Astyanax mexicanus: one gene and its partners. The protein of the gene in region 1 binds, or shares a complex with, the protein of each later gene. Links are inferred from orthologs where the notes say so. Each region holds a gene or a part of one and is shown on either strand. Other genes may lie near its edges.

Evidence for each region.
Region 2: mediator of RNA polymerase II transcription subunit 13-like (region 1) and med16 share a complex: the UniProt entries of both Homo sapiens proteins name them as parts of the mediator complex. The link is inferred for Astyanax mexicanus from reciprocal best matches to the Homo sapiens genes MED13L and MED16.
Region 3: mediator of RNA polymerase II transcription subunit 13-like (region 1) and med7 share a complex: the UniProt entries of both Homo sapiens proteins name them as parts of the mediator complex. The link is inferred for Astyanax mexicanus from reciprocal best matches to the Homo sapiens genes MED13L and MED7.
Region 4: mediator of RNA polymerase II transcription subunit 13-like (region 1) and med25 share a complex: the UniProt entries of both Homo sapiens proteins name them as parts of the mediator complex. The link is inferred for Astyanax mexicanus from reciprocal best matches to the Homo sapiens genes MED13L and MED25.

Annotation. Positions count from the first base shown.
Region 1 is NC_064408.1:20,292,856-20,300,260, forward strand, and holds the start of mediator of RNA polymerase II transcription subunit 13-like, read left to right. Parts: upstream 1-4,404; 5' UTR 4,405-6,641; coding exon 6,642-6,713; intron 6,714-7,405. UniProt on the Homo sapiens protein: Component of the Mediator complex, a coactivator involved in the regulated transcription of nearly all RNA polymerase II-dependent genes.
Region 2 is NC_064423.1:18,117,343-18,124,972, forward strand, and holds the start of med16 (mediator of RNA polymerase II transcription subunit 16), read left to right. Parts: upstream 1-4,609; 5' UTR 4,610-5,015; coding exon 5,016-5,154; intron 5,155-6,673; coding exon 6,674-6,781; intron 6,782-7,011; coding exon 7,012-7,181; intron 7,182-7,630. Other genes in the region: tmem259 (membralin), read right to left, coding at 327-623, 1,780-1,995. UniProt on the Homo sapiens protein: Component of the Mediator complex, a coactivator involved in the regulated transcription of nearly all RNA polymerase II-dependent genes.
Region 3 is NC_064417.1:49,420,443-49,428,126, reverse strand, and holds the start of med7 (mediator of RNA polymerase II transcription subunit 7), read right to left. Parts: upstream 3,008-7,684; 5' UTR 2,860-3,007; intron 1,077-2,859; 5' UTR 1,068-1,076; coding exon 324-1,067; 3' UTR 1-323. Other genes in the region: itk (tyrosine-protein kinase ITK/TSK), read left to right, coding at 5,025-5,180. UniProt on the Homo sapiens protein: Component of the Mediator complex, a coactivator involved in the regulated transcription of nearly all RNA polymerase II-dependent genes.
Region 4 is NC_064426.1:18,402,146-18,409,814, forward strand, and holds the start of med25 (mediator of RNA polymerase II transcription subunit 25), read right to left. Parts: upstream 3,006-7,669; 5' UTR 2,819-3,005; intron 1,835-2,818; 5' UTR 1,831-1,834; coding exon 1,694-1,830; intron 1,608-1,693; coding exon 1,562-1,607; intron 614-1,561; coding exon 489-613; intron 1-488. UniProt on the Homo sapiens protein: Component of the Mediator complex, a coactivator involved in the regulated transcription of nearly all RNA polymerase II-dependent genes.

The DNA of each region.
Region 1 (7,405 bases):
GACCTCAGCACATACTGTTGCTGAACCTAGACCTGACCGACTGTAGCATTTGCTTTGTTAACCTTCCTGCTATCGTCAAATATATGAACATCCTTTATTCTCTTGGTTAATATGATCTTAGCAATTTAAACCTCCAAAAAATTATTATAATTACAGATCATTAAACATGTTGGCAAAGTTTACTTACCAGTGTGTATCAAGTGTTTTATTAGTATTGCATAAATATTATAAGTAATGTTTTGTTAAATCAGGGCCTAAAGTAAAGGGACATTTAGAGAAATTTTATAAAACTGAACGTCATGGTGATCTTAACATTATTACTACACAAATATGTCAAATATTGTTATTTTTGTTATGTTTTATGCCAACAAAACAGCCTTTATAAAACAGACATTAAATTTGAACCATTTGAACATTTTTATTTTTTATTAATTGTCTTCATTAAATTAAGAAAAGACAATAAATATGAATTACAAAACTAATGTCAACCATTTTTTCAGAGACTTGAAACAATGAATGGGGTCAGATTGAGCCCAAAGATAATAGGAGGGTTAAATCCAGGTGGAGACTTTTTTTTTGGCCAGCCAGTGTATAATTTTCAATTTCTTAATTTCAGTACAGCATATGCACTGACATGCCAGGTGTCATGGGACATAGAACTGTAATATCATGTCCTATTACTTTTGCTATGTCGTATAGAGGCTGATGTGTGTGGGGCCTCCTGCATTAAATGTAATTGTGATTTCTGCCAGAGTTGCTTGTCTGTTTACACTGACATTTCTAGCCAGAGGTCGCTGGTCACATCATAACCACACACTGCTCTGTCCACTGTGGGAGGTAATGCCTTCTATGATGTATTCCTGGGAGTCTGGAATTATATGCTGTGGATTAAAGAAGATTAAATTTCAACAGAACTTCAGGTACAGAATGTCTCATTTATCTGGAACCGAATATCAGACCTCACTGGAACAGTTTATACAGGTCTGAGTGTCCTTTTCCTAGCTGTTCCCTGAGGTAGGCTCTCATAAGCCTGTAGAGAAGTATTGCCAATAGAATAGGACTCTCTGAAGCAGATATACCTGAAACAGTTGGCACTATGTTGAATGCCAGACATGGACTAGAGAGGTAAAAAGCTTTCCAGCATAAGTTGTGAAGCAGTGCTCCATCCAATACTTTTGGGATTAGTTGCAGAGGTGGGAATCATCCTCACAGCAGTCTAGTACAAATCCCTCCCTGGACAGTCGAGACAGTTGCCATAATGTCTCAAATAACAGAGAACAGTGAATAAGCAGGTATCTCAGTATTTTTGTCTGTAAAATGTTCATTGTAGTGTAAAGTGTACATTGTAGTTTATTTCATAACAGTGTATAACAACTTTATTACAATATGTTAATAGGTTATGACAGTACACCTTATATAACTGCACTGTTTATTATACTATCTAACAGCTGGTGTCAAACGAAATGGGTTCCGAGTGGTCCAGCGGTCTAAGGCACAGCCACTATGACCGGGAGATCTCCAGTTCTTATCCGAATCCTGTTTATGTAGCTTGCCATCAGCTACCGGAGCCCCGAGAGAGCACAATTGGCCTTGCTCTTTCTGGGTGGAATCTGATCAGCACAAGGCATCTGTAAGCTGATGAATCAGAACCAAGTCGCTCCGCTTTCCTCTGAGTGTGATGCTACTCGGCAATGCCGCATCAGCAGCAGTTCGAAAAGAGGCGATGACTGACTTCACCCGGAGTCTTCACCCTCCTGGTGTTGGGGCATCACTAGTGATAGGGGGAGTCCTAATGAGTGGCTTGGGTAATTGGCTGTGTAAATTGGGGTAAAGAGGATAAAAAAAACTTTAAGTAAAGTGGAATTATGACAATTTGTGTTGCATTTACAATCAAATGACAAAAAATAGTAATTAATTGATACTGTTTTTCTGTTTTTTATCTTACTTTTGTCTATTACATTTCATGTTTATTTTAGCTGGGTTAATTGTGAAAAAATGTTAGATACATATTACTATGAGTGTGTAAATATAAATACATGTTTAGAATTGGCAAGTTTAAAGACATCTTACTGGCCTTCTTGCAAAAAGTAAGCAGTGAAGTAATGAGATAGGAATTCATACTGTAAAGTGTTATGGGTGTAATTTTCTTATACATGATGCAATTGCTCAGCAGAGATATGGAGAGTTATCTTTTTAATATGTGCACTCCTTCATCAGCTGATGATAAATGTGGAAGCTGTGTCATTCCTGTCAATCATAAGACATGGTTAGGTTCATATCCTCTTTAACCCTTTCACATCCAAATTCAGAGGAAAAGAATATGCACATGATCATTCTAAACACAGTCATACATCCTATTCTTTCACAAACAATATATGGCTGTAATTACTGTTTATTTGTTTGTTTGGATTCTTTCTTAATCTAACTTATTTAGAAACATTTTTCAGTTATTTTAAATTGCTCAGGAACTCAATGGAAACATGGAAAAGTTTCAGAATGGAAGCTAATCTCATCTCTGGCAGAAAGAAGGTAGCTGACCAATGTTGGCTTACTAATGGCAAAGCTGGTTATTGGCATTTTTCTCAGCATTTTCTGGGAGACTTGCCAGATACTTTTGTTTTCTTTTATAAAGTAGATTAGAAAAGAGTATTCATTCATTTTCAATTAAATCATTTTATTTCAGACCTAGTCATTATTATATTTGTAATAACTGCCGTCATTATTTTTTCAAATAAAAGTCTCTGTGCATTTATAATATAGTTGGTGAATGAGCTAGTTAAATTAGATTATTGTGCATTAAAATGATCTGGATGTATCAACATTGTCAGTCAGTGGGGTGCTGAACTTAAAATATATCAAAATATATGCTTGCCATACAGGATGGTAATAACTACACAATCACAGTCTGACAAATTGACTGTGTAGATTTTTAATACGCTCAACACTAATAGTGCCTATCTAAATGAGATATTTAGTTGTGGGGACAACCTATTAAGACGTGGGAACAAAATAATTAAGTCATGGTCCCAACTTATTAAGGCATGGGAACAAAATAATTAAGTCATGGGGACGACTTCTTAAGGCATGGGAATGACATCATTAACGCTTTAATAAGTCATCGCCACATGTTACTATTTTTTTTTTTTACATGATATCACCATAGAACTGTACTGCTTGGAAAGTTTACACACTACATTAAAAACTCATGTAAAAACTCATTTTTTATTAGTCTGCAAAATGACTTTTGTGCTTGGACTTGACACACAGAAGGTCTGACACACTTCATCTTCATCTAAAACACAGTGGCATATTAGAGGGAGCATGCCTTTATCTTCTTCTGCTTTTTCATCTTTTTTCTTTCTTTTTTCCTCTCTGTTTTGTATTTTCTTTTCTTTTTTTTTCTTCTGCTTATGGTGTGTTTAATTGGGTATCAGCGCCTCTAGCGTCGAGATGAGGTTCTGTCCCTCTCTCTCTCTCTCTCTCTTTTTTCTATCAAAAGAGGCTGAAAACGCTGCTGTAATCCCTTTGCTTTGATCACGTGCTTTTTTTGTGCTCTACTTTGCCAAATAGGAAAGCGAGTCTCTGTCGAAGCCTGGCGGCCGCCATTACATAGCTATGCGTGGTGGGCTGTCGAATAGCGCGAAAAGCTGCCAGCGACTGTTAGCGTAAGCACACACACACTACACTGTTTCTCACACACACACCGTCTCTATCTCTCTGTCTCTGCCTCTCTCTCACTCTCACACAGACACACACACATAAAAAAGTCACAGACACACACATATAGGCTACACTGTTTGTCACATCTACAGTATCTCTGTCTCTCTCACACACATACATATACACAGTCACACACAGTGGCTACACTTTTCCTCACAAATACAATATCTCTCTCTTACACACACACAAACACAAAGTCACACACACATATGCTACACTGTTTCTCTCTCTCTTACACACATACACACATATTTACACAAAGTTACACACATACACACAAATAGGCTACACTGTTTCTCTCTCTCACACACAGCCTCTCTCTCTCTCAATTTAATTCAATTCAATGTGCTTTATTGGCATGATAAATAGTGATACATTTCTGTTGCCAATGCCTGAGTTATACAGTTTTAACAGTAAATAATAGTGGACTGTCTCAGAGATTAACAATTTCTAAAGTGTAGAAATTAACAATTTCTAGAAAACAATTATCTATTTCTCTCACACACACAAACACATACATACACACACATAAGCTACACCGTTTCTCACAAACACACTGTCTCTCTAAAACACACATACACACACATAAAGTAAGACCCCTCTATTTGCATAGCCTCCATCCAAACACAGAGCGTGCGTCGCGTGTGTTGTGTGTGTTTTTTTTTAAGGATCCAGGAGCCTCGCTCTGTTCGATTTGTCCTCGGAGTGTCTCGGAAGCGCTCGGAACCTCTCGCTCGCGCTCGGCAGCTCTCGGCGACTCGGGGAAACAGCGGCTAAACAGTGCAACAGTGACGGATGGCACGCCGTGGACGCTTTCGGAGAGAGCTCGCTGTGTGATTTCTGGCCGACTCGAGCAGGGCAGATAGCTGAGGAGGCTCGTCAGACGGCCGTGTTTACTCGGTGACTGGAGCTATCGGCGGTGGATCTGTTCCTTATCTAGCTTATCCTGTATCTTAGTTATCTATCTGTCTGTCAGCGACTCGGACTCGTTTCTGGCTTTTGTTTGATTTTATTTAGCTTTACTTCTACAAGAAGAAGAAGGAGAACAAGAAGAAGAGAAACTGGCGAGAGAGAGAGAAAGAGAGAAATATCTCCGGGAGAGGACGTTACGTTATTTCGTAATTTCGTTCTACTTAGCTAACTAGCTAGTTATGTTTATAACCAGAGAAAGGAAGGAAGTTTTTTCCCCTTTCTCTTCAGTTTTTTTCCTTTCTCTTCTGTTTGTTGGTTTTTAGCTTATCTAAGAAAGCTAAGCTAGGTTTGGTAGCTAAGGAAGATTGCAGTTGCTGCTGCTGTTTGTTGCTACGGCTGCTGCTGCTGTTGTTGTTAGCTAGCGTTAATGTTAGCTTAATGTTGTTTTCTTATTGTTTTAACTAGCTAAACAGGTTAACTAGCTTTGCGTTAGCTAGCTAGGTTAGCTGACTAACTAGTTATCTTAACTAACTGCATAGCTAATAAGGTTTCTTTAGCTGGTTAAACATGTTCGTTTGTTGTCTTCGCTAGGTGGCTAACTAACGTTACCTCCTTCCCTAGTCTCTCTCTTTCTGTGACTGGGTGACTGAGAGACTGATAAAGAGAGAGAAAGAAAGAGAGTGAGGGAGGGAGTGAGAGAGTGAGGACAAGAAGAGGAGGGTCAGGTTTTTATTTTTAGCTCCTCCAGAACGCTAGTTAACTAGCTGGGGTTAGCTAGCTTGCGTTAGTTGCAAAGTGAAACGAGGATTTTTCACCATTCTTCCTTCCTCCCTTGCTCAGAAGCCAGACTGTGTTGTTGCTCGCGTATCAGGGGAAGAGTGAGGACGGCTCTATAAATAGCTCCAAAGAGAGGGAGAGAAACTACATCGACGTTAGCCAGCTAGTATCATTTTCTCTCGTGTGCCCCCTCTCTCTATCTATCGCTCTCTCTCCTCAGTCTGTGTGTGTGAGTGTGTGTGTTTTTTGCCGCCTTCTCTCATATATGGAGGGCTGTGGGGGAGTCAATGGAGTCCGCTCACTCGCTCCGCGCTTCTGTATTGTTCCTAAACAGAGACGCTTCAGTGGATTATACTAGCCATAGCGAGCTACAAAACTGAAACTTGAACTGGGAGCACGCCGATATTGAGACGTGTCCTCTTTTTTGTGTGGATTTTTTTTGTTGTGTGCAAGAAAAAAGGAGAAAGAACCGAGAGGATTGGAGAGAAGGAAGGAAAGAAAGAAAGGGCATAACTGGTCCTGGCTCTTGCTTTTTTGAATTACATTTATTTTTTTTCTTCTCCCGTGGATTACTAGGATATACTGTGATTATAGATATGCTATTACAGTTATTGTATTAGTAGTAGAAGAAAAAAACAAAAAACAAGTCAACTGGCATGGACAAGGATGGTCAAATCATCTCACGGCGGCTAGGAGGATTAAACACACGGAGGATCATCATCATCATACCCACCGCCACCGCATCGCCACAGACAATGATTCGGTTTCAGCCGCCTGACGAGAAGCATCCGAGCCACCCCGAGCTCGTGTGGATGGAAACAAAGTGTTAGTGCTAGCGCTAGTTTTCAGTTTTCGCCCCGAAGAAAAGAAAAAAAAGCGGAGACGGAGAAAGGAAGGAAGGAATTAAACCCTAAGGCATTCCTACGGATTCGCTACAGTGTTTTAAAAAAAGAGAGAGAGAGAGAGAAAGAGAGAAATCACGCCTCCGCTGGTTTACACTGCGTTGTTCCTCTCAGTCTGCTGGCTTTCTCCGTGATTTTTCTATATTTGTTGCTTGCTTTACTACTGAAGGAATCGTTCATCCACCTTCTTCAACCGACAACCAACCTACCCACCTACCTTCCTTCCTAAGTACCTGCCTAACTACCCCCTCTCAGAACCCTCTGCTCGGTTCTGATACCGATCGAGGATCTCGACATGCCCTACGCTGACGAGCCCATCGGCGGACGATTATGACTACAGCAGCGAACTGGGTGGCTAACGGGGCGAGCCTTGAAGACTGCCATTCCAACCTTTTCTCTCTGGTACGGTCAACCAACCTACTTCTATACACTCACTTATGTCCCATAGAGTCTAGCTAGCTAGTGGCAGCGATTGGGCTGGAGGGGGGAATGAAGCAGCTGAGGGGGTGTGGTGGTGGTGGTGTTGGGTGGGTGGGTTTGTGGGGTTTGTGCCTGACTGCCTGGAAGTGTGTGTGTGTGTGTGTGTATGTATGTATATGTGTGTCTGTGTGTTGGTTGTGGGGTTCTCCTTGAGGGCAGGGACCAATCAACCATCCACCCACCACCAGCCTACTGTTCTCAAGGTACAAAGGTGAAGCAATCTCTGGTAGCCTACTGTTATTAGCCAATCATTAACATGCCAAAAGAGCCTGAGAGCTGGGCTGGCTTGGAAAGGTAGGTTAACATTTCTTTTTTTGGCAGTCTGCCTCCTCATGAAATGAGCTTGAGGGCTACTGTACTGTTCCCCACGGTGTGGTGGTCAGGAGTGGTCAGGATTCATACTCACCATTCATCATGCCATTGAAAAAAGAAAGGAAAGAGATGCCTTGCTTTGGCAGACAGTTCATAATGGCCAGCTGCTACTGTATGGTATGGTTGGTAGTTGATTGGGAATGTTGTGCTGCTATTGCTCGGGTTGCTTGTTACACACACACACACAGGCAAATCTGTTTACTCAAGTTTCAGACAAAAACCCTTTGGGGAAAGGAGAGACA
Region 2 (7,630 bases), on another chromosome or scaffold:
AGTCTTAATAAAAGAGAATATTCCTAGACATAAAAGACAAAAACAAATACTCTAGTGTTTAAAATATGTCCAGTCTTTTTGTTTTCTCTGCTGTAACACATAAATAAAGGGCAATTTCCCTATGACTAGATTTACCTTTTAATATACAATCTCCATTCAAAATACTGTGTAGATCACGACTAGGCTTAATCCCCATCTAGGAAACTGTCCCAAAGGTTTACCTAGGAAGGAAATGCACTAAAATATGTATGTTCCCCTCACCCAGGACTGGAAAACACTGCCCTAAAACAGAACAAGTGCCTGCATGTGTTTTTCCTTTTACTTACCCTAACAGAGCTGTTATCAAACATTTCCATGGTCATTTCGTCCTCCTCCTCCTCTTCTTGATGAACAGGAGCTCGGCTGGTGTCCTCTGTATCTCCACTGGATTCTTTAACCAGCCCCTGGAATCCTTCCGTCTCGTAAAACTGCAGGAATATGGGCGCACGGCTTGAGTTGCGCTGGATCTCCACGCGCAAGATTCCATCACGTGGCCATTTCTCACGCACATGCTCCAGACAGTTGATGGGTGATCGGGAGAAGGCGATGTGGATGTAGGCCAGAATGAACAGCACAAACAAAGCCTGCAAATGAGAGGATGTGATTGATGTCAGTAGGTAAACATTCTTTAGCTCAGCAGAATAAAAAAAATGGGACACTCCACACATCCTTACGGGTCTTGTGGGTACATGCACACGAGGACCCCTGGACCCCTTTGGAACAGGGCTATAGTTGGCAATGGTATCATCAGGGATTAAAACCTGCAATCTCCTGATTAAACGGCCAGAACTTAAGTCCCTTTACTCAGGAGCTCTCTAGAAAAAGCAGCTCAAAACTGTCACAGGGTGATACCAACAAGCGTTTTTGTTGATTTTTAGTTTACTACAAAACATGAATACACAAACTGTCCCTTATACTGTGTGAAAATTTCTTGATGGATGGACCAAAAGAAATTCTTCTTTATTGCCTGAAATTAACTCTTTTCAAACTAACTTCCATTGAAAGTTGGAAAGGTGGTTTCATATCTCTCTTGTAAAATACTAGTTTTTCATTGGATAGCACTCTGTACAATAGTTCTGTCTATTTCTGACAGTGTACCATGTTTACCTCTGTGGCTTTCCTCACCTATAGGCAGGTTTTACACATACAATTTCTATTTGAGCAGAGATAAGTGTTGACTTCTGATTTGCAGCCAACATTTTAACATGACAGGTCCTGTTTTGACTAATAGTCAGTAAAAACATTATTATCTATATAGTTAACATACAGTTTTGCATGGGTTAATTGGCCAATATTGCAGATTTGAATGTAGCAGTCACAGAATACGTGTTTTAAAATATGTTATTGTGCCATCTCAATCCAGATCAATCTGTTAAGGCACACCAACATTTAACCTTTATTCATAATATGAAAGCCTGGCGTGTCCTCTATGTCTAATTACAGAATTACAGAGTGTATCTGTGGTCAAGTTACACTGTGACTTTCATAGAAGAGTGAGGGGCAGCTTCTCAAACAGGGATAAAGCCTAGTTATAGATTATACTTAAATGGAATATCTCAATTCAAGATGTCAAAGAAGGCTTAAACTGCTAATTTATAACCAGAAGTAGGCCTGAACTTGGATTAGCTAAGGTAGCATTCTCAGTATATACTGTATATATAGTGTTCTCACTGTAGCTAAAATGCTCAACAAATATGGGCTCAGGTCCAAAAGGGTACGGGGTAAACAAATGACACGTACCTTCAGAAGCACGAAGAACTCGAAAATCCTCCGAAAGGACGGTGGGAATAGCCTGGCATAGGTGACTGCCATCTTAAAGAAGAGGGCATGAAAGAGGCGGTCCCGCACGTTGATGAGGGGGTTCTGGTTGATGTTCGGGTTGCGGATTCGGTTCGGACCGCCATTGTTGTTCAACGGCACGTTGTTGTTGTTTAGGTTTCCCTGGTTGTCTGACATGTCTAACGCCAGTCCCACGAGTTTAGTGCGAAAATTTGATGGCCATGTAGGTCAGACAGGGAGCGACATACGCAGATACTGATAATTAACAGTACTGCCACTTAACCTAGTTAACTAATGCTAGCTAGCTACCTAACTAACAAATTAACGTGGGTGGCTGTAATTAGCTAACCTGGGTTTGCTAGTTAACTGAGAAACATTAGCTATCTTAGTGTGGTTATTTAGCGCTAGTCTGCTAGCTTGTGCACTACAGTCTGTGCATGTACTTTAACTAACGTTATAAACTGCACCAAATTTCTTAATAATCCAGCCTACGTCGTTTGACTGAGCTAGCCCTAGTTATCTTGGATATGTGTGTCTCATGACATCGCTACGAGTTTGCTGGCTTGTAAAAACAAGCTCAGTTAGCATTAGCTAACCTAGCTACCGCTAACTACTGAATGGGGGCATGTCACACTCCGTAGACGTTGTTTTTTTAGTCTTCTTCTGTTTTTATTTCGGTCTATCCTTAGCTAAATAGCTTTGTCAGCCTTAATAAGATGAACAACACCGAACTAGCGTTAGCTAGCTTAGCATACGTGCTAGCTAGCGCTAAGTAAACTGTACCTGGCCCTACTACTCTACTAACCCAACTAACCAGGCGTTAGCTAGCTACGCTAGCTACAACCTCGCTAGCTCACGTTTGCTCCATTTACCACTAAGCTAACTATCTTAGCTAAGCTAACTGATTTAAATACTCCAGGTCAATTAACAGAGTCTGTCAGTGTTGCTGAAATGTAGCTAAATTAAAAAGAGCTAACTAAACTCGATGCCACTTGCTAGCATAGCCCGCTAGCCTGTTGCTTATTAAACTAGCAGCTAACCTAGCTAGCTAGGCTAAACTACAGTTCAGTCTGACGTACAGCTAGCTGCACACAGAGGCCGTATGATCTGCTGCTCCTCAGATCAGCTTCTCTATTAAACACAGATCCTGACACTCACTCTCCCTCTACCGCACACGGAACCGTAACGACGCTAAATACAATCCCACGGGATTCCTCTCCGACAGAAGCTGCCAAGAACTTGTATCCTCTCGCTGTGGTCCCCCTGTTTACACGACCCTTTTCTAATCAAGGCGTACTTGGGTACTTCAGGAGTGACGAGAGCGAAGAAAGTGAGCGGTTGGCAAAGACAGTCATGCCGATGTGTTAGACCCGGACTCAGCGGCTGATCTCAGATACAGCGCCACCTCTACGCGGGACGACTACAAACACACCTGTGGCAAAATCGCCTAGATCCTCAGTTAATCAATTTGATTCTACCCTTTTAAAACAATGGTCTGTGTCAAGAGCATGAATTATTAAGGTAATTTATTATGCGTCAAGTCAAAACAAAATGTGACGTTAATTTTAATAGCCGTCCTTCACTGAACTAATTTCCACAGTTCAGGGCTTGTCCCCAGTTTGGTAATTAAATTAAATTAAATTATATTGATATAGCGCTTTTTACAACATTTGTAAAACCACACACAGTGCACCACAGTGATGCCAACAGTAACAAGGAAAACCCCCCTCATACTAAGTGGAAGACACTTTAGGATAACATGGTAGGCTAAGATGTTTATTAGATTTTTACTATAATATACAGTTTACTTCGTTTTAATAAAGACTTTGGGCTATAAATATTGCATAGATGTTTACATTTATTTTTTAATTTTATTTTTTATGATTTTAGTACGGTCAACACATTTATTAGTTGCATTGTTACCATGTTATTACAATTGAGTTATTATAATGATTTAATTACTATTCTCGTGTGACTTAATAACAATGTAGTTAAATCTTTATATTGAATAGAGAACAAAATGAAAATTAAAATATATCACAAAAGTTAATTAAAGGAGTAGAAACCTAATTTTAAACAACTATATAATGTCAATGGATAAATACATAAAATGTTTACCAAAAATTAGACATATAGAATTGCACCAAATAAATGACATTTATTTCAGACCTTTAGTAACACTTAATACAGCCCACAATTTAGTGTGTAAATGTGTAAGTTCAAATAACTTATGAGTACATACAAGATACAAAAATAAAGTTAGGGAGGTAAATAAAAAAAATACACCACATGTTTTGGGAAATTGTTATTTTCTTGTTATTGGTTGGGCTTTTTTGTTGTTGTACATGCATTTAAGTACCAATAAGAACCGGCACGTATTTTATATGTGTAACGGGCTTCTTAGTGTTACACATGTATAGGCTCATACAGGGATTATACCATACATTTTGGTAATTACATACTAAATGTCGGAAAATTGCCCAATTGTTCCACTATTGCTACTGTATTTTATATGTGCTGGTTCGTACTCGGGTCCTACTCTCTGGTTCCTGGTTATCCTCATTACTTTATTCGTAGCTACATTTAAGTAGCAGTAAGACAGACCTTGTAAATATTTTGTAAATACTGGTTCATACAGAGAAGTTACGGGACATTTTATTAAGTGTTACCATATATTTTATGACATAGATTATATTTAGTTAGCTAGTTAGTCTGTTAGCTTAGTTAGCTAACAGTTAGTGTTTCTGTTTATGGTTAGGGTCGTTACACTCCTGGCCGGTAACGGCGCTCTGACAGGTCAGTGCTGGGCGGAGCGCAGCGCTGCAGAGGAAGACTCATACACACAGCAACAGCGCTGTAGTTCACTGTATAATCTCCATACACAGAAACTTTATTTTAGTTTAACTGTGTTGTTTCAGAACCGTGTGGATTGTACATATTTTTTCTAAATACGTCGCTTTTTCCCCCTCATTTGTATCAAATTTGGTGAGATTTTGCGCTTTGTTATGACGAACTGGTTAGCTAAATAAGCTAACAAGCTAGCGTTAGCTGGCTAGCTAACAAGCTAGCATTAGCTGCTAGCTAACGCCGGGCAGTAGAGTCTATTGAATGGCTCTCTGTTCACTTGAGCGTTTGTATGAAACCCGGAGACATTGGAGGAGTATATCTATCTTAGTTAAATCGTTAATGTATTAATAATGGAGGTTGTGTATGTGTGCGAGTGGGAGAAGAGACCCAAAAACAACCACTGCCCCTCCATCCCGCTGGTGTGTGCCTGGTCCTGCAGAAACCTCATCGCCTTCACAACAGACCTGAAAAATGAAGAGGACGATAAAGGTAAGAGGAGTCCTTATACTAGTGCTCTCTGTTATCCTCTGTCTAATATAAAGTGTAGTTAGTTATATTAGGTTATATTCTACACTTTATTCATTTATGTCTATGAATTTTAGCCAGTGTACAGAACTTAAGCCTAACACTATGTTTGTGTCTACCACTTTTAGTTAGCTATGCATATTTCAGATCCACTGAACATACTACTGCATTTCAGAAAAATAAAATATCATTAAAAAGTTGCCTTATTTCAGTAGTTCAGTTCAAAATGTAAAATTCATATACAGCTCTGGAAAAAATTGAGAACACTTTCTTTGATTTTACCAAATTGAAATCCTCATAAAGCTATTCAAAAGCACTGTGTAAGACTGGTGGAGGAAAACATGCCAAGATGCACGAAAACTTTGATTAAAAAGCAGGGTTATTATTTTTATTTTAACCATTTCTCATTTTCTGCAAATAAATGCTGTAAATGACAATATTTCTATTTAGGAATTTGGGAGAAATGTTGTCCGTAGTTTATAGAATAAAACAACAATGTTCATTTTGCTCAAACATATACCTATAAATAGTAAAATCAGAGAAACTGAAGTGGTCTTTTAATTATTTCCAAAGCTGTATTATATAAATGTTTTATACACAGTAATCTATTATCTATAGTTGAAGATGATGACAAAAATCAGTATCTCAGAAAATCAGAATATTATATAAGACCGATTGGTACTTGTGGCGGTGTGGGCAGTGTGCCGAATTCTGCTGCAAAATGAAATCTGCATCTCTAGGAATCATTAAGTGCTGTAAGATTTTCCGGGAAAACATTGCACTGATTTTGGATTTGATTTAACACAGTGGACCAAAACCAGCAGATGACATGACTATCCAAACCATCACTGATTGTGGGAACTTCACACTAGACCTCAAGCAGCTTGGACTGTGTGCCTCTCCACTCTTCCTACCGATTCTGATTCCTTGAGTTCTCTGATCCCTTGATTATTTATAGCAATATTTTGAGCATACACACAATTGTGCTGCACATAATCCAGTTAAACATTACTGATTAAACTCTCTGTAATGTAATAGTGATGCTCATCAGTGTTCTTTTAGCAGTAATGTCATCCAAATATGCTTCGATATCACAAAAATTGAACACAATGCAATACAATGTAGAAAGAAGCCCTCTTCTATTGCACATACAGATGTTACATATTTTATAATATGCAATAGTATTGTGTTATTTGTATTAGTTGCTATTTACTGGAAAGATTTATGGGTTGTTTTTGTTTAATTGTTTTGCACTTTATATGCATGCACTAAATATTCCACACTTTGGTATTGCGCTAGATTTGTTGCTAAATTTTTTTGTTGTTACATTGCTTATTTTGTTATATATTTTTTGTACGAAACCTGAGACTTCATCATTTATTGGTTTGCTCTGTTGAAGCTGTTTTCTTTTGTGTATCATGGATATATATTTTTTCCCCTTAGTGCAGTCTAAGTGTTTAACATAGTACATTTTTTGCTTTAGAACTCAGTCACATGATTCATATCATTGACACTGAACACCCCTGGGATGTCTACTCCATCAACTCGGGTCATAGGGAAGTTATTTCGTGCTTGGAGTGGGACCAGTCAGGTAAGTTAACCTCACTGTTTAAAATTTAATTGTAAAACGGCCAATATTTTTGCATTCTCTCATATATACATTTTTTTCTAAATGATCTAATATTGCAAAAGATTAGCACTGTGTGCCCTGATAGGTGAAATTTTAGGACAAAGAGTATTGTAATGATGTTCACTCATTTTAGGGCTGCAGTATATTCATATCTAATTTTTGCCTTCATTCATTAAATTGTGTGTAACTAGGATCCAGACTGCTCTCTGCTGATGGGGACGGAGAGATCAAGTGTTGGGCAATGAAGGAACACCTTGTGAACAGCTGGGAAAGTATACAGAGCAGCTCTGTTGATGGAGACCCTATTGTAGCTCTCTCATGGTTGCACAATGGGGTCAAACTTGCACTGCATGTGGAGAAGGTAAGAGCAAGAAATTTACCCACATTTTTTAGTATATATTTTAGTATAAGGCACACTTAAAGTTCTTTAATTAAAAAAAAAAATGTCAGTGCACCTTATGTATGAATTCTACCAGTCAGGTTGTAAAGAGCAGTAAAGCCACTCCGCTAAAGTACAGCATTATAGTTTAGTTTTATAGTTTAGTTCTCCAGCATCTGAACTCTTTAAACTTTATGAATATGAACTAAAGGCTCTGCCTCTTTTTTATTATCTCAGCCATTTCTCATTTTCTGCAAATAAATGCTCTAAATGACAATATTTTTATTTGGAATTTGGGAGAAATGTTGTCTGTAGTTTATAGAATAAAACAACAATGTTCATTTTACTCAAGCATATTCCTATAAATAGCAAAATCGGAGAAACTGATTCAGAAACTGAAGTGGTCTCTTATTTCGTTCCAGAGCTGTATA
Region 3 (7,684 bases), on another chromosome or scaffold:
CAGCGGCACAATAAGAGCAGCCATGAACACAAGTATAGAGGTCAAAGTATGGCATATATGTTGGCAAAGATTAATTTTTACTTACATTTTGATTGTGTGTTTTAGAAATTAAAAGCTAAAAGTGAGGAAAAATGGACGAAACTTCCTTTCTTCACTATACTAAATGGAAACAAATGAGTTAATACAGTTTTACACCCAGTAAAACTACTTTCTACTTTCAAATTTAGCCTCAAACAGTCAGAAAATTTAATTAACTAAATTAATTGATGAATTTTACACTGAATGAAAAAACAGAAGAAGAAACATCATATATATAAAGCAATTCAAGTCATTTCATCAATAATGCTGCACATCGCAGCGTCTTTATCCCACACTTTCTCCTTCTTTGTGGTTGGAATGTTTTTGTCCGTTTGTCCTGCCATGCAGCTAACGCCCGCCTCCTCCAAATCCATGGGTTCGGTTTTCAGTCTGGACTCGCCTCCCAAACCCGCGGCCCCGCCCAGCCGACCCGCTCCGGCCCCGCCCGCGGCGTCCGGCTGCGGCAGGTCGTCCGGCAGCGAGGCCAGGCAGTTCTGGATCATCTCCACGACTCGCTCCAGGTGCTTCTGGAAGCGCTCGGCCGTCTCCAGCCGCTGCCTCTTCTGCACCTCCATCATCACGCGCAGCGTCTCGCGGGCCTGGTGGGGCCGGTACTCGTTGATGAGGTGATGCATGTGAACGAACAGCAGTTTCAGGTCCTCCAGTTTCTCTTCCCGCTTAATGCTGCCCGGGCTCTTAATCAGAATATCCAGCAGGTCCAGAAAGTTCACCAGGATGGACATGTTGAGCTTTTTCAGTTCCCGCTTGTGGTCGAACTGCATGGGGTGCAGGCGCTCGATGCCCTGGCTCTCCAGGGGCCGGATGATCAGGTCGTCGCACTGGAACTGGTTGCCGAACATGGTGTAATTGTCTCGGATGGGAGGCGGCGGTTTTGGTGCCAGGCCTTTCCGCACGTTCTCGTCCGTGTACTCCTTGATGTACTGCATCGGCGGCAGCGGCAGGGCGCTGACCTGCTGTGGCTCACCCATCCTGAGCGTCTGGAAACGGAGAGAAAACAGAGAAAACAGAAAAGCTTGACATAGTGTACATTTATGCTGATACCAATACAAACATATGACCATTTGAATTAATGAAATAGTGTGTTAAATCCAAATGAATTAGTACAACATAGAAGTATAGTTATTATTTGTTGAGTTTTAGAAACACTTTAACAATTAGAGATAAACCCCGTTAAAAAATGCTTATCTTATATAATAAACAGTATTTGAATCAGTCATGTTAAATGACCAATGCTTCAATAACTGTGACTCCATACATACAGTGTCTTTAAAATATATTGCTTTGTAATTATATTCTGTTATCATTATATCTGTAGCATACATTGGTCTTAAAATGACAATAATATATAGTTTATAGCAATAATTTCTGGTACTGTTTAGACACACCTACTCATTCAATGTTTTCTTAATTACTTTATTTAATTTACACAATTCTACATTGTAGATTAATCTTGATTAAAGACACAAAAACGATTAAGGGACACACATAGAATTACGTAGTAAACATAAAAAAAGTGTTAGTCACCACATTAATCTCCTGATCTAAACCTGATGAACTGAGTTGGTGATTTGAGGTGATTTAAATTGGGATGAGCCTGAGCTGCACAGCGTGAAGAAGGAAAAGCAGCAACTATTGTTCAGCACCTCCAGAAACTCCTTCCTTCAAGACTCTGAGAAAACTATTCCAGGTGACTCTCCCTCATGAAGACACTGAGATTAAAATACTGAGAGTGTGCAGATCTGTCCTCAAAGATAAATGTGATACTTTTGTGCTAAGAATCTAAAGTATAAAACAGATTCTTGTTTGTTTAATACTATTTACTGTTTACAGAATAATTCATACAGCATGCGCTCCAGTAGAGCTTTAATATAGTCTTCAATATTGCAATAGCTATACTATAGTATCTATCCATCCATCCATCCATCCACTAATTACCCTGATACAGCAATTTAGGTTATTCAAATATCATCCGAAACTTCTACTTCTAATACATATTCTAATATTTTGTATTTTACCAGCAAATTTACACTAGGGTATAGGGGTGGGCGATATGGCTCTAAAATAATATCGCGTTATTTCAGAGTATTTTTTGTGATAACGATATACTTGCCGATATAGGAAAACAGAAAAATAATTAATTAATTTCAGGAATATAGAATAACAGTTTAACAGCATAATCATAATGTGGCAAAATAAATCATATAGCATAAAATAATATAATGCAGCAAATAATATTGCAGAATATTTAGTGCATGCATATAAACTGCAAACTGAAACAATTATACAATAAATACACCTAAAGCTTCACAGTAAATAATAGACTAATTTTAAGACAGAACAGCCCAATTATCAAGATATGGATTTTTAATATCACGATATTTCTGTGTCACAATATATTGTACACACCTACTAGGGTAGCATAGTTTTACAATGTTGCTAAAATCGACACAACACAGGTCCCATGCCTATATAATCAACACAGCACATTTTTAAAGTTTTAATCACATTAAATCACTGTTTAACGAGGTTTAGAGTCGTATAAACGCTAAAAATACATTGAAATATATAACTAAATAACCTATATACACATATAACCTATCTAACCCTAAATCTAAAACATTAGCTTTAGCATAGCTTAGCTAGCTCGTCGCTAATGCTAACCTGCTTAGTTAGCATCTAAATAAAAAGTATTTTAAAAGCCCTAAACGCGTGTAAACAGCTCCAGTTACTGCAGTAAATCATACAGAAATTATTACATACCAAACTGCAGCCGAACCGCGCGGAATTCTGTACAGATTATTAATAAAATACAAAATAAACACAACCCAGCCAAGCTCCTGCTCTCATAGCGCCTCCGAGCCCGGACTGTAAGCTGCCTTCTGATTGGACGACACGGGTAAGGGAGGGGAGCTGTGATTGGTGTAGATCATTTAAAGGCGTGTTCAAAACAACAGCGCTGTAAACGTTTTATTTTTTGTAATGTTTTAAAATTAATAATTTTATTTAATAATTATTTGTTTAATTCACGCTATGGTTATTTTATTTTTTATTATGTATTTAACAAACAAGTATACAAATAACGTCAAACAACTGGGTCATCTTAACGTTTAATAATTCAATTTTCTGACCGTTTGAGGATAAATGCAAAATTAGAAAATTGGATGTAAAAGCACATTTTTTTATTTTTTTATGTAGTTTCATCCATTTTTCCAATTTTATTTTTTTCATCTCTGACCCTCACAATCGGAATGTCAGGAAAAAGGAAAAAAAATAATATTTTTTATTTTTTGATTATTCAATTTTAACATTTTACAAAATTAGATGTAAAACTTATTTATTTATTTATTTTTAAAATTCAGTATAGTAAAGAAGAAATGCGTTTTAATCCAGTTTTTCAATTTCTGCCTTTCGTGAACAGAATTTCAGAATTTTTAATTTAAAAAGTGAATCTTTTCTTGATATTCAGATTTTTTCCATTTTTGGATTAAATCTGATGGTGTAATTCAACTAATGTTATTTACAAAATGAAACAATGAAAAAAATCATCCTAAAATTTTCCTAAAATTCTGATTATGAGGGACAGAGAAGAAAAAACTATATATTATAAATAATGGATAAAAACGTCTACACTGCACTAATGTAAACAATTAAATAATGACATTTTTATCCAATTTTAGACTTTTGCACTTAGCCTCAAACAGTCAGAAAATGTAACTGATAATTGTTAAACTAATCAAAAACTGCAAAGCTTAGTTTTGCATCTAAAATTTTTGTTTGTGATTAAAATATTTTGCTAGTAGAATATAAAAGTTTACAATATATTCTAAACGTTTAATCAATGTATTGTTATAATAAAAAATGGTATCTTTATGTATAAAAGTGTGGTTAACATTCATGGGCAATAATGCGTGGCCATGACTTATTAAAATGTAAATTTAGATGTTAATTTCACTAAATGAACATACTTTCACCATTTTGCTCCACTGAACTGTGTTCAAAGTTTAAACATGATTCTCTTGTCATGTTCATCAGTCTAATTTTCTGAGCAAATAAGGCTAAATTTAAAAACATATACAACTGGGTGTAACATCTTTTTACATATTTTCCCCTATTTAGTATAGTGAAGAAGAAATGGGTTTTCTTAGGAAAACAAATTAAAATGAATTAGGTTCCTGCCCTATGATAATACCTTCATTTCTTCCTAAAGTATTTTTCTTCATTTAGTTGAGTAGTTCTTGCTTCTCATAATCTGGATTAGAACATTATTCAAATATTCACTATTTACTGTATACCTGTAACTCTACCTCTTCACTACTTTACAACTGATGCTCTCAAACACATTAACATTAAGAGGCAAGAAATTTGAAAAAGTAGTAATTAACTCTTGATGAGTTCAGCACAGCTGTTAACTGAAAACCTGAAATCCAGGTGACTCTACCTCATAAAGCTGACTGAGAAAATACAGCAGAGATGTGCAAAACTGTCTAATTTAAGCAAGAGGTGCTGATTTGAAGAATGTAAAATATAAACATATTCTGGTTTAACACTGTTTTCTATAATTAATAATTCCATATGTTTTTTTCATGGTTTAGATGAGTTTAGTATTAATCTACAATGCAGAACATTTTAAAATAATGAAAAAAAAAACACTGTATGTAAGTTGTGCCAAACCTTTGACTGGTACTGTATGTATGTGTTTGTATGTGTGTATATATGTGTGTATGTGTGTGTGTGTGAGAGCACACTTGTGTCATATACCTACCTAAGGAAGTGGTTTACCCGGTGTATCTTCTCCGGAAGCCCATAACTCATGATGCACCAGTGTTAGTCTACAGACGCATGATCTCTGTTAGTAACACACACTCCACGGCAGCAGCAGCAGCAGCAGGAATGCCTGAGCCCAGCTCAGCTCCTCCAGCAGACTCATGTACCCTAACCCTAACACGTACCCGCGGGTCATTCTGAAGGGAACTTTATTTAAGAAGTCTCAGCAGAAGCGCAGAACCTCCCCCTGCAATTATAAAGAGCGCTACTTCATACTCAACACTGAGGACCTGACCTATTCAGAGCGTCGCCCTGGGGTGAGTACACTCGCTGCTGTACAATATACATAAATATATATATATATATATATATATATATATATATATATATATATATATATATATATATATATATATGTACATTTTTATTGTGGGAGTAAGATGATATAAAAATGGAGTTACAGCCAGAGCCAAGCCCGAGTCCAGACCAAGACCGGCATACATTGAGTCAGAGTCAAGACCAAGACCGGGCTATATCGAGTCTGAGTCAAGACCAAGACTAGGCTATATCGAGTCTGAGTCCAGACCAAGACCGGGCTATATTGAGTCTGAGTCCAGACCAATACTAGGCTATATCGAGTCTGAGTCCAGACCAAGACCGGGCTATATCAAGTCTGAGTCCAGACCAAGACCGGGCTATATCGAGTCTGAGTCCAGACCAAGACCGGGCTATATCGAGTCTGAGTCCAGACCAAGACCGGGCTATATCGAGTCTGAGTCCAGACCAAGACCGGGCTATATCGAGTCAGAGTCCAGACCAAGACCGGGCTATATCGAGTCTGAGTCCAGACCAAGACCGGGCTATATCGAGTCTGAGTCCAGACCAATACTAGGCTATATCGAGTCTGAGTCCAGACCAAGACCGGGCTATATCAAGTCTGAGTCCAGACCAAGACCGGGCTATATCGAGTCTGAGTCCAGACCAAGACTAGGCTATATCGAGTCTAAGACAAGACCAAGACCTGGCTATATCGAGTCTGAGTCAAGACCAAGAGCGGGCTATATCGATTCTGAGATAAGACCAAGACTGGCTATATCAGGCTATATGAGTCAAGACCAAGATTTGTGGTAATCAAGTCAGCTAGTCAGTGGCCAATACCGATATAAAGATTAATATCCCAAACCAGAAAAAATTATTTCAAACCACTAGAACTGAGTCAAGAACAAGAATCTTAGCAGTCAAATCCGACTTAAAACCAAGACTTATTTTGCAGTCAAGTCTGAGTCAAGACCAATAATTTTTTTTAGACGAGTCCATGTCAAGATCAAGACATTTGGTAATCAAATCCGAATCAAAACCAAGACTTTGAAAGTCAAAACAGAGTCAAGACTAAGACTTTTTTTAGTCAAGTCCGAGTTAAGACGAAGACTTTTGGGAATCAAATCAGAGTCAAGATCAAGACTTTTTTGTAGTCAAGTCTGAATCAAGACCAAGACATTTGGAAATCAAATCCGAGTCAAGACTAAGACATTTTTGTAGTTGAGTCCGAGTCACGACCAAGACTTTTAGGAATTAAATAAGAGTCAAGACCAAGACTTTATTTATTCGAGTGCTAGTCAAGACCAAGACTTTTGGAAATCAAATCCGAGTCAAGACCAATACTTTTTTCTTAGTCGAGTCTGAGTCAAGACCAAAACAACCAAATCAAGACAAATACTTTTTTTTGTAGTCAAGTCTGTGTCATGACCCATACTTTTGGGAATCAAATCCAAGTCAAGGCCAAAACTTTTGGGAATCAAATCGGAAGTCAAGACCAAGACTATTTTGTAGTTGAGTCAGAGTCAAGACCAAGAAATTTGTTGTCAAGTCTAAGTCACGACCAAGACTTTTGGGAATCAAATCAGAGTCAAGACCAAGACTTTTGGGAACCAAGTCCGAATTAAGACAAATATTTTTTGTACTCAAGTAGGTGTCAAGACCAAGATTTTAAGGAATCAAATCCGAGTCAAAACCAAGACTTTTCGTAGTTAAGTCCGAGTCAAGATCAGGTTAAAGATTTTTGTATATAAATATAAAAAGTCAAAACCACTAGAGCCAAGTCTAGACAAGTTTAGACATACACTTTAACATATTGAGTCTGAGTCAAGACCAAAACTTTTGTTAGTTAAGTCAGAGTTAAGACCAAGACTGGGAGATATCAAGTCTGAGTCAAATTCAAGACCAGATAAATATTATTTCATGTAAATATAAAAGACCTCTAGAGCCAAGTCAAGTCTGAGTCATGACCAATTCCAAATGGGATCAAAACTAAGATTGCTTTTTTATGGGAGACCAGACTCGAGTCTTACAACAGTAATTACCAGACAGCATATTTGTACTTTTGGTATATACTTTATGTTACAATAGGAATGTCAGATTTTAACAACAGCAAGACTCAACTATTAAACAGCATGGCTGTAGATATTAGGTAGCGTTTACTGTGGTCTCATATTCAGTATTTTGTGGTGTTATTGAGCAATGCCACAGAAGAAGCATTTTTGAAATTGAGATTCTAAAAGATTTATAGACATGAATGTAAAGGTTCTTCTCGCTCACATTAACTCCTTTTCAGTTAGTTTTCTTCTGTAGTGTTATTAAAATCAGTAAAACAATCATTTTGTATCACCATACTTTTTACAATCTTTTTAAAAATACTTAAAAAACAAACAAATAGACTGAAGCTTTTATTGGGATAACAATACTGAAATAAAGCATGAACTTAATTTGATGTAAGATCAGGCAAGTTGGATTTGGCAAAGGTGTGGCACCTTTTAGATAACTT
Region 4 (7,669 bases), on another chromosome or scaffold:
TTTAAAACGTTATTCAGCTCAATTCAAAACAGGTGTGATTATTGTAAAAGGGCTGGTTATGGGCGGGACCAATAACAGACCGTCAGCTCCACTCCCACTCCCGCTCTGCAGCCTGTGACCGCTCTGCAGCCCTCAGGGGCGGAGTTATTTAAATGAGTAGGCTGTCTCTCCACAGTCTTTCTCCCTCCTCTGGTCTCTACTGTGCAGACTCGGGTTTCAGGATCGCCAACATGGTGGAAGATTTTGGCTTCATTTTCATTGAATGGGAACGGCGACACGGCGTCCATCTTTTTTTACAGTCTCTGAAGAAGACTAACTCGGCATTTGCAGCATTTGCAACAAAAAGTCTGTTGTATTTTGCAATGATACAGACAATAGAGTATTATATGAAGTGTAAACAACTTTTTTTTAATCAAAATATATCATCATATTATGCAGCCCTACATAATGCTGCATTAAATATGGTTTTGTAGTTAATTAGGACTTACTGAATTTTGTCAATCCACGACACAAACTCGTAGGCAGAGCTGGTAGGAGCGTGGCACTGGACATATGACTCTGGAGCACAGTCCACAGTGTTGAAGACCACCAGTCCATACTGTGTCCCACCATACTGAGGAAGAGAACATATAACATTTTAAATCTTGGTAAGAGTAAGTAAAGTGATCATTACAGAGTTCTGATTGTTCAAATTTGTACAAAACCAGCATACTAACCTAGTGTGGCAGTACAGTTAACACTTAATGCTGAAACTCTAAAATGGCAATTACCATATTTTTACTATAAGGCGCACTTAAAATCATTTAATTTTATTTACCTTTCAGTGTGTGTTATAATACAGTGCGCCTTATAAGGCGATATAAATACAGTACGTAATTTGACAATTTGTTGGGGAAAAACATTAAGGCACAACAAATATTTAAGAGAAACATTATCTATGTTAAAAAGACAACGATATGAGTTTTAGATTTTGATCACAATCTTCTTATTCAAAAAACTTAAAGCACACTTCATTAATATTCTTTGAAAATCTAATAAAAAAAAACTACAAGCAAGATAAAACAATTTAACAAATCTGGAACACATTATTATTATCTGTACTTTTTAGTACTAATAATTTTAAACTGGAGAAATATGAAAAGTGGTCCTACCATTTAGCTCTACCCAAATACTTATGAAATTTACTTACTTAATCATGCTCTAAACCACATTAGTTTTATTAACAAATTAAGACTTTAGAGATGGGCTGAGAGACAAACAATTTTAGACATATATTTACAGGGAGATGAGACAAATGACAGTCCAAGTCCACTGTTTGTTAGCAACATTAGCCTAGCATTCCTCGCTTAAAACTAAAAAAAGAACATGTTAGATACCAAACGTGTCTTGGCCAATCCCCTGCATCTGGGGTCATGGCTCAGTCATCTTGTTTATTTGACAAAGTGTACTTTTAAGTGCTTGTAGACATGCTAAATGCAATATAAACCTGCTTTTCTTCCACTAACAGCGTAATTATCACACGTAAACATACACATTAGTAAACATTTCAGATTATACTCACATCTCCTCCAAAATCTGTTTCAGCTGGTGGACCCCCATTAAAGTACCTGTTATAACAATATCAAAAGACTAGTAAAACATAATAAAAACAAATGGGAGCAATATTGGAACAAAGCTGGTCAGTAGCTCTTACTCGATGGCTGGCAGTATGTAGTTCTTCCGCAGAGATTCAAAATATGGACCGAGATTCGCTGTTCCTTCTATAACAAACACCACGTCTGAAACCTGGTTGGCACCAATTTTGGGAGCTGGGTCCATGTGGGTCACCATAGTGCTACAGAAGAAGGAAAACATCAACCTTGTTAATTATTTTCATAAACTACACACATTAGAATTATACACATTATAACCATATATTGATTTTGAATATTGATTTCTGAACTCTTAATACTTTATAAATATGAACTTATTTTCTTTGCATTATTTGAGGTCTGAAAGCTCTGCATCTTTTTTGTTATTTCAGTCAATTTTAATTTTCTGCAAATAAATGCTCTAAATGACAATTTTTTTCATCTGGAATTTGGAAGAAATGTTGTCCATAGTTTATAGAATAAACTGAAATGGTCTCTTCATTTTTTTCACAGCTGTATATATAATATTTAAGGTAGACATTTACCACTATAACCTAACAAATGTAGCTAGTACGTCGTCAAATTACTTCAATAAGACAAGTGTAAATAAATACAAAGAGGCAACATAATACTAACTAATATAATATATATATATATATATATATATATATATATATATATATATATATATATATATATTTATATATAATATATTATATTATTATAATATATAATAACTAATTTCCAATGCAAATTTACTGACTATTTTATCTAATAAACTCTCCTTAGACATGTAGTTAATTATCTAACTTAGGTTAGTTTACTGGATGAAACATACTTCTTGTTGGAATTCTCGTTCCACCTTAAATAGTGCAGCAGTTGCGTTGAAGCTCCTTAAGACTTCACGCTGCACCGCTACACTATTTAAGGTGGAACGGGAAAGTCCAGGAAAGAAAAGCGAAATTAAACCAAAACTATTCCTCGTATAAAACAGCCGGCTGTGTAACGTAATAATAATAATCAGGGTAAAACAGAAGCCCTGTTAAACGAGGTTACAGTCCATCTACCTGTATTTATAATTACACTTATACTAAACAAACCGAACAGCAGGAATGGGTTTTATTCTGGGTTTAAATTTAGTTAGCTTAGCATTGTATCATCATATCAAACCTAATACAGCAGCTTACCCCGGCTTTCACTCCACACCACACCCGAGAGGAGCGCTTTATTCAAGTGTTCAGACTGAGAACTGAATTTAATTCACACCCGGAGATTTTCCGTCTTCATCTTTATCCAGATATTCACTTAACTCGCAGAAGCGCGATGACAACAAACCTCCAGATTTACCGCTCGACTATCGACTCATCGGACTGGGTGCAACAGAAAAAGGCGGACAGGGGCGGAGAGTCGACTACCGATCCATTCACACAAAAAAATCGATGTTGAAATTATTCTTAAATTATTGTAAATACATTAATTAACTAAAACTAAAGCAGTGTGGATTATTTAATGCATATTTTGTTCTGCACATATTAATTTAAGATTTTTTGCTTTCTTAGGTAAAACAGCATTTTTAAAAACGTTTTTAACAGTTTTGTTTTAGTGTTTATAGTGCAGTAAAAATACAGTTAGTTATTGTATTTGAATTTATATTACTATATGGGAGAATATATCTATCTATCTATATATATATATATATATATATATATATATATATATATATAGATAGATAGATAGATAGATAGATAGATAGATAGATAGATAGATAGATAGATATATTCTCCCATATAGTAATATAAATTCAAATACAATAACTAACTGTATTTTAGTTATTTTAATTTTTTTAGAGTTTAAAATATAAAACATAATCTGGTTTGTTTTAGATTTTTTGTTTACGAAATAACACCACGTGTTCCGGTCGATCTTTTATTTCATTAATATTAAATCTTAATGTGGGAAAAATCGTAAAAAATAAAAATAAAAAAAAACCACGTTGAACGAAAAGAGGTGCGTTCAAACTTTTGACTGTATAAAAATCTAGATGTATATGTACTAGTGCATCACTAAAAATATAACATTTCAATAAAAATTACTTTATTTCAGTAATTCAGTTTAAATAGTAAAACTCATATATTCTCTCTGCAAATTTGAATATTATTAGGTAGTGTGGACACTGCCAAAAGTACCAATTGGTTTTATATATTATTCTAATTTTCTAAGACACTGATTTTTGGGTTTTCATTGGCTGTAAGCCATAATCATCAACGATAAAATAAATAAATGCTTAAAATATATCACTCTCTTTGTAATACATCTATATAATATATGAATTTCACATTTTGAACCGAATTACTGAAATAAAGCAACTTTCTTTATTCTAATATTTTAAGATGCACATACTTGGCCACAAAAAAAACATTTGCATAGAGCTGTGTATAAGCACTATAGTGTTCCAAAGGTTAGGAACACAATCTGTGATATAGTTATGGAGAGATCTGTGCAGTGATGTTTAACATGCTTGTTTAGGTAAATTATTGAGGTCTGTTCATATTGTTAAAAATAGGCCAGCAGTGCAATTCACTTAATGAACAGCAGGTGTCAGCAGACTGACGTTAAACCAGCGAGCAACAGACTGAGCAGAAGGTAGGTAAGACCTCAGATCTTTTCCTGTGGGTGTTAAATAAAAGAACATTCAGTGAGATTTATACCTCAACTCTGCATTGTAGATTAATACTAAAGACGAAATCAAAACAGATTGAATTATTTATTCAACCAAAAAGTGTTAAACAGCCCAGAATATGTTTTATTTTTTAGATTCTTCGAAGTAGCACGTCTTGCTTAGATAAGACAGCTTTACACATCTTGTCTTTGCACATTTCTCATTTTTATTTAGTAGTAGTTTGTCAAGAGTTGATTACTTGAATTTATTGCCTCTTAATGTGTTTGAGAGCATCAGTTGTAAAGTTGTGAAGAGGTAGAGTTGTTTACACAGTAAATAGTCCTATTTGAGTAATGTTTTAATCCATATTATGGCAAGAACTGCTCAACTAAGTAAATACTGTATTTTTCGCACCATAAGGCGCACTCAAAATCCTTTAACTTTCCCAAAAATCAACAGAATGCCTTATAATCCAGTGTGCCTTATGTGTGAATTATACTGGAGTACAGCGTTATACAGGAGTTACAGTGAAGTTTCTCCAGCACCAAGGCTGGAGCAGCATTAGCATTAGCCGCTACCCGCAACGCTAGCTCTTTTACTGTTCAGAGGTAAGTATAGCAGACTGTAGTCTACGTGTTTTTCATGTTAAAACAAACTACGTCAGACGAACCACAAGCTAATAGTACCCTGGGTTACTGGAACACTCAGACTTCCTCAGTGTAGCTCTGTCAGGTGGTGTTTTCTAGTGCTAAGTGCTGCTTACTGCATCTAGCTGTGCTAAAAAAATGGAAATCTAAGCTTACTGTAAGTAAAGAGTTTCCAGGAGAAAAATCTGTGTAGGTTAACATCCAGCACTCGTTTGACTTTAAGAGAAAATATGTTTTTTTAGGAATTACAGTTGTTACAGTACGCCCTCAGCTGTTAGACCTGCTGAATTAGAAGGGAAAAATGATAAAAACCCTGTTCCTTACTATTGTCACTTAAAATGCACCTTATAATCCGGTGCGCCTTGTGTATGAAAATAGATCAGAAAAAAGATGTTTATTGATAGTGCAACGTATAATACGGTGTGCCTTATAGTCCGTAAAATACGGTAGTAAAAAATATTCTATGAAATGAAGATCAGTCAATCCGAAACATTTCAAGAACTTTTAGTCACAAATACCATCAAAAACATTATGAGGCCATTCCACCGAATGGGTTCCATTTCTGTCCCCAGAAAATTATATATATAAATGTATATATAATATAAAATATTTATAAAATACATTGTATTATTAAGCATAGTGTCTTGTACATTTATCTAACTGCAAAAGTAATATATGTAATTTAAAACATTAATAAAAACTACATAGAACACTGATAAAATAACATTTGTCCCCACTTCCTAAATATAAACTTCACCATGAAATATAATTATTAAAATCCTTTAGACATGTATTATTTTTTGCATTGTTGTGTAAGTCCAAATACCATCTATGCTTTAAAAATATATTTTTCATTATGCGTCTATAATATTTAGGTTAAAATACACATTTTAGCTGTTTCACTCAGTCCTGTTACCATAAAACATTCCCCATCTGAAACATTTAAAACATTCTACAAGTCACATCTACAACAGGAAGTGACATCAGTTGGTTCTTCTGAAGATCAAAATTAAGTTCCCTCATTTGTTTTTCTGTATATTTGATCTTATTGTAGATATGACTGAAAAGGTTAATCTCAACATTCTGTCCTGTTGCCTAAATTAATTTTTGGATGTTTATTTTTAAAATACAAATTTTGAGAAAATCATTAGAATGTGCTCAGTGTCCCTATGCTATTAGCATAGCCACCATTTAGCTATTTAAATTTTGTTGTTTTTACTAATTCTATCCTAAAAGCTAATTCCTGTTAGTTTATTTTCTGTTACTCAAAACATATACAGTAACAGGAATGAGTACCAGTAACAGTAGTGAGTTCCAGTAACAGGAGTGATTTTTTTTTTGTCACAAATATCAATTATTTGAACATACAGTCAACCATTTCTTTAAAATAAAGACTTTCTTGAGAGAAAATCAAAGGAATTAGTAGACTTGCTTTTAAACATGCTTTTTAACTGTCACATGAGTTTTGTAATCTTCAGTTTAGAAAACTTACTTTCAAAGTAAAGCTGCCTGAGATTGACCAGTACATATTTTAAATAGTTAAATATATGTGTTATTAGATTCAGAGTTGGAAAATTAAAAAAATAATAATAATAATACAATTAATTTGGAAGAGTTACAACAAGCAAATGGCACCCATTAGGTGGAATGGCCCTATGATGAAACTGGCTCTCATCAGGACCACCCCAGGAAAGGAAGATCAAGAGTTTCCTCTATTACACAGGATAAGTTAATCAGAGTTACTAGCCCCAGAAACTGCATGTTAACAGCTAAACCCCAGATAAGAGCCACCTAAATGCTTCACAGAGTATTTTGGTTTGTTTAACATTTTTAAATTACTACATGACATTATGGGTTTCTCCATAGTCTGAATGATTTCAGTATTAATTTACAATGTAAGAAAAAAAATAAAATAAAATCAATGAATGAGAAGTGTGTCCAAACTTTGACAGGTACTGTATATATTCTTAAATAGTTACCTGCAATTATTTAATTTAAATTTCTCAGATAGCATGAAGAATCAGCACAAGCTCAGCTAAAGTATGGCAGCATCAGCTGATGGCATGTGGAAATGAGTCTAATGCAGTTTATTCTTGGTAACAGAGAGTTGGCAAGTGGCGAAGGCTGATTCCCATTCTATGCTCACCAGCTGGGGTGAGTGCACATGCGGCTGAATTTCACCATTAAAAAACTGTATTTCTTTCTTGATACATTTTTATTTATCTTTGATTCTAATACATAGTTTTTAGTTGTTGATTTTATATATTTTGCTTCATGCGATTGAACAATCACCAAAACATTTTATTATACACTGTATGTATAATAAACAAAAGGGGTATCTACTATTTTTTTTTCCTGAAATCAAGTATATTATAAAAGAGTTTAATCTGTTTATGTTGGAGTAACTGACTCTACTGTCCAGCGAAGGCTTTCTGCTAGATTAAAAAAAAAAAACTAAACTCCTAACCATTAAACTAGCTCCTAACCAGCAAAAGGCATGTTTTTTTAATAGCGAGCTGGATTTGAGCTGGATATTTTTAGCAGGGTGTTGTAAGGATTTGATTGCATTCAGTGACAAAAGCATAAGTGAGGTCAGGGTGTTGGATTATCACCACACCATTTTACCATCAATACAAAAGTGCTGGATGGGATGCCGAGTGGTCCAGCGGTCTACAGTGCTACCACTATGATCGGGAGATCGCTGGTTTGAATCCTGGTCATGCAGCTTGCCA